2 linked regions of the Drosophila melanogaster genome follow. The protein of the gene in region 2 interacts with the protein of the main gene of each other region in a pairwise test. Each region holds a gene or a part of one and is shown on either strand. Other genes may lie near its edges. The genes, in order: imd and Fadd.

Region 1 (6,238 bases), on a different chromosome or scaffold from region 2:
AGTCCGCCGGTGCGAGCATGCAAACTGACCCTCGACGCCCTGGGCCTTCAGTATGAGTATAGGCTGGTGAACCTGCTGGCCGGTGAGCACAAGACGAAGGAGTTCAGCCTGAAGAATCCGCAGCACACGGTACCCGTGCTGGAGGACGATGGCAAGTTCATCTGGGAGAGTCACGCCATTTGCGCTTATCTGGTTAGACGCTATGCCAAGAGTGATGACCTGTATCCCAAGGATTACTTCAAACGCGCACTCGTTGATCAGCGCCTGCACTTTGAGTCGGGTGTGTTATTCCAGGGCTGCATCCGGAACATAGCCATTCCGTTGTTCTACAAGAACATAACTGAGGTGCCGCGTTCCCAGATTGATGCCATCTACGAGGCCTATGACTTTCTGGAAGCGTTCATCGGTAATCAGGCTTACCTCTGCGGACCGGTCATAACCATCGCCGACTACAGTGTAGTTTCCTCGGTCTCCAGCCTAGTGGGATTGGCCGCTATCGATGCCAAGCGCTATCCCAAGTTAAACGGCTGGCTAGACAGAATGGCCGCACAGCCCAATTACCAGTCGCTCAATGGCAATGGGGCACAGATGTTGATCGACATGTTCAGTTCGAAGATCACAAAGATTGTGTAATTGTTTGCACTAGCTTAAAGGTTACAAACGCAACGTGTTCTGATTACGTAACAATAAAGCTTCTATTTGTATAAACTTTACAAAAATGCTTTTAAATACCAGCTCAATTAGCTGGTTTTTTTTTTCGACACAAGTATCACAACTTAAAGATTAAACTGCAGTAATAACAGTTAATGCAATTCTACGCACTTATTCGATAGGTTGGATTTATAAATCAAATATTGCACATATATCCCGTGTTCGTCTCTTCTCTCTACCACTCGATGTCTTCTGTCAAAGGCCGCTCTGAATTTAGCAAAAGTTGGTGGGTTAAACATTTCCAGTTTTCACCATCCGGCTGGCTTGGACATCAAGGGGCCACTTTGAATGCATCGTTTTCGTTCTGGAATCTTTGCTAGCAAGTTTCACTCACTGACTAGCTGTTTGTCTTGCGCTTCTCCAGTGCCTTCCAAACCAGTTTCATGCGCTGCACGCAGTCGCGATGCTGGGACTCCCACAGCAGTGTAGTAAGTCGTCCAACGGTGGCCACACCGTCCGCCGAGCTTCGAATCCACTGGAGCAACAGCTGGTATATCACCTATAGACGTAGACACAAAGCAAAGTGTTATTTTCTGATTTTATGATTGATTTTCTAACTCTTAAAAATCATTAAAATCTTCTGGTACTCTAACAACAGAGTTGTGACATTTATACACCATAACTTGCAATCTAATCAGACAAACAAGTGGAATCACTATCAGTATTATATAAAATAAATAGCTCACAATAATGTAAGCTAATTTATATTATTTTTTTTTTTAAGTTGAACAATCCATTCGTGTCAAGCAATGAAATCTAACAGAAATAGTGGTATTTGAGTCATTAAATTAGTCTGATGCGTCACAATCATCTTAGCATAGTCTGTTGTTTTACATACTAATTTGAGTTTGTATGTTCTGTTCTTGAATCAACATTCAACAACAAATAAGAGAAGTTTAAACTTCAGGGGCCTTACCTCTCTAATATTGCCATGCATTTGGTGATCGATTATGGCCTGGTCGATCTGTCCTTCCGACATGCCAAGATCCCGCATCACCTGCTTCCAGCCCTCGCCCAAGTGCGTGGAAACCACATCGAGCAGGCGCACATCCGGTTCCTCTTGTGACTGCATCATGGCCACAATGCTGACCGTTTTGCGCGTCGCACTTGCCCGCGGCTTACCGTCTGGAGAGGCGACCGACTCCTCTGCGGTACTGGTGCTACCCTTTCGCGAGCTGCAGGCGCTCAAGTTTTGGTTGAAGTTGTAGACGGAGCCGAAGTGCAGATTATTGGCATTCGAGAAGTTCATGACCACCTGTTGCTGGGCGCTGTGTACGTTCATGGTGTTGTTTGTCTGGACGTTACTGAGAGTGCCCGGAATATTGGCGGAATGCACCACATCCATTGAATTGTAGTTTGGGTCGCTGAGCTCGCGCAGCACGGATTCGGTCAGATCCGAGGAGGCTGTGGGCGTGCCAGCGGTGGAGGGCAGCGCCAGGGCTCCGCTGTTGTTGTTATCTGGTTCGTTGTCGTCCACGGGAGCTGCGTCCTTTTCCAGGCGTCCCTCGACGGGTGTCGGATTCTGTGCCTCCTTCCCGCCAAAGATTGTGGGCAACAGGTTCCTGAGCTTTGACATGCTGCTCGCTGATAACTGGTAGCTTTGAATGTGCTCTCGCTTCCGGAAATTCCACAGATTGGGGAGTTTTTTGCCTTTGTGTTTCTTTGCTCTTTTTCAATTTGGTGGTGGTAGGCCAAGGATGGACCTGACTATCGATATTCCGAGCCGATTATCAACCGATATTTCACTTACAACTAAAAATTTTTAGTTTTATTAAGAAATTCAACTAAATAGCATTTCTTGTCTTTTCCGTCTGATTGAAAAAATCAATTATATTTGACTAACATACAAAACTTAACATTTGAATTTTAATTCTTAATCATTATGTGCATATAAGGAAAAAATTTAAGCATTTATATCTAATCTTTATTAATTTGCATATAAGGAAACCCCCATAATAACGATTATCATCTTTAAAAACTGGTGTTTGTTGTCTAAGTTTTTTTTTAATATATTTTTTTTATTGTTACTATTGAATAATTCTTTAATTAATTTTTGAAAATCCCCAAAAGAAGGCCATGGTAATAGACCCAATAGTCGATAGTTCGATTTGACAGTTCGCGCTTGCGATTGGTAAGAGCGACAACCCTGCACCCGCTGCGGCGTATCGCCCATCTCTATTTGCCACGTTCGCTCATGTTCATTCACATTTTACTTGGAGTCGGTAACGTTGAGTTCCGCGTCCGTGCGTTCTGCCTTCCAATAGAAAGTCTGGGTGTGAATTTACCAAGATTCCAGTGCGAAAATCAACTCACATTGCTCGGTGATCCGTGCGGCGGTATAATTGCAGCCGGAATTGCATAAGTTGCGGCGAGCGAAAGAGAGTGCACGGATTTACAGTTATAAAGGGCCGGCAGCGGTGGGGCGGCGACGGCAGAGCAAGCAGAAGAAGAAGAGACGGCAGTGGCGAATTAAAAAAAACGATGAAAGAAAATTCGGGCCGCTAATTTTTCTTCAAATTTGTGTGCGGTCGGCGAAAAACAACGTGTTTTTCAATGGTTGATAATACACACGGACGGCGCACTCGCGCTCACCCACACAGTCACAAAAGTCGGCGACGTCGACGACCCACACGCTCACATAGGGACGTAAAATCCCGTGCATACGTGTGAGCGTGCATATATAAGCATATTTGTCCGATTGGAAGGCGCGCGTGCTGCCTTTTATTTTTTTTTACTTTAATTTTCCTATTTTTCGAGAGGGGGAGGCAGAGTTAAGGCCCCGCCCCGTGCCGGAAAAGAGGATCCACACAACCTTTCACCTGGAAAGCATACGGCACTGATTTCCGCATTTCCATACTCTCACACACACACACAGACGCACACAAACACGCCCACGCGCTGCTCCAATTTTGCCTCCGCTGCTGCCACAAAAACAATTGTCCAATAAGTGGCCCGCATATGCTGCCCCCCTCCCCTTCCTTCACCGTGCTCTCTGCAACAACGCGCTCTCTGCGACAAATAACATTAGACTTTCTATTGGGGATGTGCATAACGCAGAATGACTGACTAAATGATTTGTAGGGCATTCATCCTGGTGATGCCACGATCCGATCTTCTGCATCCGCTAATTGCATTAATTTTAAGCAATTGTTTTTCGGCTTTTCCAGCAGACACCCAAGTTATCAAACTGGATTTGGTCAAAGGAGAGTAAACTCGGCCGGATTTTTTGGATTTTACAGTACCGTAAGTTGAACAACCTTTGCCTAGAGTTAATTTGCATAGTTTAACATTTTACACAAGTGTTTTGCCAAAAAAAAGACAACAAATGTCGTCCAAGTTAACGGTTTCATGCCTAAAACTGACTACGTCAAGCTTTTCTTTTTTTGGTCTTTGGGATCTTTGTATCGAAATTACAGAAACAAGAATCCATCCGATATGTGCATACCAATTTTGTATATATGTTTTTTTTTTTTTTGGTTTTTTGTTTAAAGCTGAACTTTAGCGCATTGTTATTGTGCTTTGTCTTCATTTGTCGACGTCAGCGTCGCTGCAGGCGTCACATACGAACGTATGAACGATGGTATTTGCTATGTAGGTATGTTGCTTGTTTTCGTTTTTTACCTGTGCCTTCTCGAAAGGTGGCAACACACACACACAACCGTATTCCCGAAGAAGAAAAAGAGCGACACAGAAATGTGCAGGCACACAGGCACAGCACACTCACATGCATACAATACACCACTGGCACTGCTCGATCGTTTTGTTGTAGTTGCCGGCTATCATCCGGTTTTATATGGAGCTGCTCCCCTGCTCCGTTAAGTTACTTCGTCAAGCTCTCGCTCTCTCCTCTCCCTGTTCCTGTCGCTCTCGTGCTCTTGTCTCTGTATTTGACACATTTTTCATGAGCACAAACAGATTCGTCGTTAGGTGATTATTTTTTTGGGAAATTAATTCTGAAATGAAAAACTATTATTAAATGTTAGGGATAATGATCTGGTGTCACTTGCAGTTGTCATTGTTATCTGTAATATATAAATGTATTAAGCTTTCATTGAAATTTACAAAACCGTATGATTTAAAAGTAAGAGGCCCCCTTTACACATACCCTGCCACCGCCGCTGTCCGCACATACAAAGACACAACTAACAGAGAGGAGACAGACATATCTTTGTTGTTCTTTCGGTAGAGAGGAAAATGTAGGCTACGAAAACTCGTTGGGCATGGATTTAGAAAACAGCTTTGGTCGAACAAGTGCATGGTCTCTGCTGCTCCTCGGCTGAGATCTCTCTTTCTCATTCGCGAGGCCCCAACCTTTCACCCAATCGAAATCCGACTGATAGCAGCCTAAATTTCGGAAAGCGCACTTGTAGCATTGTGTGTTTGTGTGTGTACGTACCACAATATCTTGGTGGCAATCGGACGACTGAGCTTATCAGCCAGAACGGCCGATAGTTATCACTCAGCCCCGGAATCTGCCTGCGTGGCCCATCGGCCGCGTCCACTTATCACCACCGAAAAGCGGAGAGTTGTGTCGAGCACTCATCTCGCAGATCCAAGCACTACGTGGCCTTAGTTTCAGGCTGTGGTGCAGAAAGCTCGTTTGAAAAGAGACTATTTCGGTTTATCAACGCCAGAAAATCCATTTCATGCACCCCCTTTGGACACGCACTGTTTACAGTGGGGCATGCAACATGGTTTCCCGGAATGATTCTGCATTCAGTCGAAGGAAACTTTACGAATATAAGCTACAGAGGTGAATTCAATGAATAATTTATGATCTAATTTAATAGATATTTTATTAAATGTAGTATTGGATGTTATTGGAAATTTCTTCCATTCACAAATTAAGAAGAAATGGAAAACAGCAAACAAAAAATTGCAAACTTTTGACGTTTTTATAAGAAAGCAATAGTAACGCAACTTGTTAGATTTCCTGTACATAAGTCACGCCGCATATCCAATGAATTATCTTTGTACTAATTTGTTTACTGTAGCCAAGCGGTCCTAAAGTGTGTATGTACTTATGTAGTTCCTTATCAGTTGGTCGCAGCCAAATGCGGGTCCTCGGAGGTCGCACTTATCAACTATCTGCGATTTTGGTAAGTCTGCGGGCGACTGACAACAGAAACAGATGAAAACTGTAGCTAAACGGGCCTATTTTAATCCATGTTTGCCAAAATAAGAATGCCATTTAACTATTTGTTCTTTGATTGATCGACCAGCACTTCGATAATCCCCTAGAAATTTTTCCTTCCTGGTTGTTTGCTTTATCGCTGGCTGATAAACAAGGTTCATTTATAGGGTCCAGTATGATGTAAACGTTTTAATGCACTTGATAAGATATCTTCTACTTTTCAATTTCAGTGTACTGTAAACGACTTGGAACGAAAAAGGACTTTTCTCTTTTTTTAAGTAATGCAAGCAGCAGCAGTGATGGAGGAAACTAACAACGGTGAGTTCTTCGAAGGCTAAATATTATCAAGCAATTGTTAACCAAAATCATCATGCAGCAACTACCATCGAGCAG
Region 2 (3,617 bases):
ATCATTATTATTGGTAGTTAGAACGAATTCCCTAAATATCGACACTTTTACTTACCTTCCTGCTGGTCATCATCTTCACTCCCGCTGTCAACATCCTCCTCATCAACTTCGGCTACTTCGTCCAAATCGCTATCCTCATCTGCCTCATCCTCCTGCTCATCGTCATCTGATTCCGAATCCGAGTTGGCCACCTGAATTTGTTGCTTTTTTGGAGGCTGTTTTTGTTGCTTCTTCTTGGGCAGCGGCGCCTCCTGGAAATCCTCCTCTAAGTCGTCATCTGCGGGTCGAAAAGTGAATCTTACATATATTTATTAGGCACACACGTTTTTAATCGTACCCTCATCCTTGGCCACATGCTTTTTACTGAGTTTCTCCGGTTTTTTACTGGGTTTATTGCCATTTTGTTTGGGTGGCTCCTGCTTTTGGGCGTTCTTGTTTCCCTTCTTCTGCGAGAGCTCCTTCTTCATCTTCTCCCGCTTAACGATCTTCTTCATCAGCAGCTTCTCCCGAATAGACATATTGCTAACTATGTATGCTTTTTAATAGAGTTTAATGGTTAAAAACAGAATTCTCAAATAAAATATTGCGCGCACGTGTTGCTAACCATTCACCCCGAAGCAAACGATATTCAGCCAGCTGTGCCTATCGATAATTGCCAATTCGATAGTTCAATGCAAAAGGTGTGACCCTATTTGTAAACAAATTTTCAACCGTCTTTTGAGGATAAGAGAAGCAAAAGCGTTTGCAAAACGTATTTTATATCCATTGTACATTGCTATCTTCAACTATGTGACTTGTGTATTACGAGTTAACAATATTTTTTGTAGACTATCTTATGATAAGGAAATGTGAATTCCCATTTTGAATGGAATACGTCAATCACATTTTCTTATAAGATCGTACAATTCCGCGTTGACACATATTAATTTAGTGTGCGATTTTTATGCTCTGTCCAACCTTGGAATAACATGTGAATAATTACAATAAAGGCACATCTTTGTCGCTCTCCAGCACATTAATTACTAGTATCGTAACAAAATGCATATAAAGTGCATATAAGTGAATGCGTTCTAGTGCGACATTATCTGCTCCACCCTCTTGCGCAGATCATTGCGACCACAATCGCCCAGGGCGCGACACAGACGAAGCAGAAAGTGCTTGGGATCGTGGCAATCATCCTCTTCGATGAGCTGCAGCAGTCGCAGAATCTGGGACTTCAAGTCGTGCGGGTAGCGCTCCTCGATTGTGTCCATTTGGCCCTCGCCAATGCCCGCCGATCGGCCCAGTCGTCGCCAATAGCGACCCAGTTCCTCGGATATTTTCTTAAAGACCATCGTTCGTTTGTGATCCGTAAAAGCAGCTGGGGTGGCATAGTTTTGGATTGCTGTTGGAGGCACAGCGGCAGCTAATTCCGAAACTGATGGCTGAGCATTCTGGGAAGCTGGAGCAATACGGAGCTGCTGACGAAGTTCCTCGGCCAATCGGAGTTCCTGGTACAGATTAACCGGATGTCCAAGAATGTTTTCCGGCTTTGTGTAGGCGCTCAGAGCCTCGATGAGCTGTGGCATATTGCCTGATATCCGGCGCAGTGGCTCCACATTGTACTCCGATAGTTCGTCCGCTCGTTCCAGGCAGTCAATTAAATCCTCGATGGTTCGTATGCAATCCGATCTGCGTCGCGAACCAATCTCTTCGACAAAAATTAGTTTCAACTGCTCCACGTTCTCGGTGCATCCATCAATGGCGATTTGTTTGAGGCTGTCGTAGCTCCAGTGCCTGCCTGCAGTCATTGTGACTAATTTACAGAGACGGTATTTTCAGCGGTCTTAAGTTCCCAAAATGTATCAACGCAACTTCACTCCCTGATGTAGTATGACCGTATGGCCAAACATTTCCTTACCTGTTATCGATCAGCACTGAATAGGTGTTTGAGCAAAATGAGCAAAAAAATATCAAATACTATTTCCATACAACTTAAAAAATTTAAAATAAGCTTTAAACTTGCACCACCTTGCATGTTTGGGATCTATTAGTGAGACCGTTACATAGCCATTCGATAACATCGATAACAGATGGCACGCACCATCCCTAGTTTTGATAGATATATATTTATGTTTTTGTTACTTTTACTGAAGCAACTAATGATAAACGCAAACGTGTAGACGAATGGAAATATCCATTAACGTTTTCGTATTCCTCCTCTACACTCTGGTCTTGATTTACCTTCAGCATTTCGTTAACAAGTACACAGAGTTCGTCCGCAGCCTCTAAATGTTGGGCCTTCAGTCATACGCCAGTTCCTCGGATGAAGAATCGGACCATGCGGACGCCGCCACAGCCACCACGAATTCAGAGCCCTCCGCTCCCATTCCGGATCACCTGCTGCCCGTGGACAAGACACACTCGCTATCCAAGTCCATTGCTGTTTGTGCGGCGCCAACGGTGGTTCCCCTTGGAGCATCGGCCGTGCCCCGAACTCTGGATCCCACGCTCAAGGAGGTAACCTACAATCCGCGCTATGAGGAGATGTATGCTCCGGTAAAAGGTCCGGAGCATCCGGACCTCACCATGCAGCAGCGCGCTCCGCGGAACACCCTAGCCGGCTACGTAGAGAAGGCCCACATCAATGCCTTCGAATTTGAGAACCAGCGACGCACCTTTCACACCTACGGCTACGCATTGGACCCCAGCGTAGACGATCAGGCGGACGGCCAGTCTTTTGTGGGTGACCTGCAGTCTGCGTACGATGACAATGGCAAGACGGTATTTGAGCCGCCCAAGGCAAAGAAACTGCGCAAGCAGGAGAAAAATGATAATCCCGAGGACATTGAGGGCTTTCTGGGTCCCTGGGGCAAGTTCGAAAACGAGGTGTCGGTGGCAAAGCCAAATGAACAGGAGCGCGCCGAACTGGACGAGCTGCTGTCTAAGCGACATAAGCGCGGACGCATTCCCGAGGATAAGCCGCTCGAGGAGAAGTCGACGCTGCACAGTGAGTTTAATCCAATAGCCACCGAATATATATCGTTAATAATCTTTTCCTTTTTTGCTCCACAGTCAAGGATGCGTACGACTATCAGGGCCGCTCTTATTTGCATGCTCCTCATGATCTGGGCGTGAATCTACGATCGAATGCACCACCGACCAAATGCTTTCTGCCCAAGGCGCACATACACACCTGGTCGGGCCACAACAAGGGCATCTCCTCCATCCGCTGGTTCCCCAAGACCGCTCATCTTCTGCTCTCCGGATCGATGGACTGTCGCGTCAAACTGTGGGAGGTTTACGGCGAGCGACGCTGCATACGCACCTTCTCCGGTCACCGGCAGGCCATCAAGGATATTGCGTGGAACAACAGGGGTACCAACTTCCTGTCTGCCTCGTATGATCGCTACATAAAGTTGTGGGATGCCGAAACGGGCGATGTAGTGTCCCGATTCACAACGCGTAAAATGCCTTTCTGTGTGAAATTCCATCCGGATAATAGCAAGCAACATTTGTTCGTTGCCGGCACCTCCGACAAGAAGATCATTTGTGTAAGTAAAATTTACAAAAGTAGATGCTCATGTTACAATTGTTTTCCTATCAATTCGCAGTGGGACACTCGCAGCGGTGATATT

The links.
Region 1: the proteins of Fadd (region 2) and imd interact in a two-hybrid assay, tested with the Drosophila melanogaster proteins (2 studies listed by BioGRID).

Annotation. Positions count from the first base shown.
Region 1 is NT_033778.4:18,409,124-18,415,361, forward strand, and holds imd (immune deficiency), read right to left. Parts: upstream 4,477-6,238; 5' UTR 4,333-4,476; intron 4,307-4,332; exon of another isoform or gene 4,203-4,306; intron 3,955-4,202; exon of another isoform or gene 3,725-3,954; intron 3,234-3,724; exon of another isoform or gene 2,904-3,233; intron 2,464-2,903; 5' UTR 2,288-2,463; coding exon 1,628-2,287; intron 1,211-1,627; coding exon 1,049-1,210; 3' UTR 673-1,048; downstream 1-672. Other genes in the region: GstE9 (glutathione S transferase E9), read left to right, coding at 1-633; Dp1 (Dodeca-satellite-binding protein 1), read left to right, coding at 6,127-6,163, 6,222-6,238.
Region 2 is NT_033777.3:22,032,736-22,036,352, reverse strand, and holds Fadd (Fas-associated death domain), read right to left. Parts: upstream 1,899-3,617; 5' UTR 1,791-1,898; coding exon 1,071-1,790; 3' UTR 736-1,070; downstream 1-735. Other genes in the region: pit (pitchoune), read right to left, coding at 56-277, 338-518; CG45099 (uncharacterized protein), read left to right, coding at 2,167-2,271; CG6015 (uncharacterized protein), read left to right, coding at 2,272-2,989, 3,055-3,533, 3,594-3,617.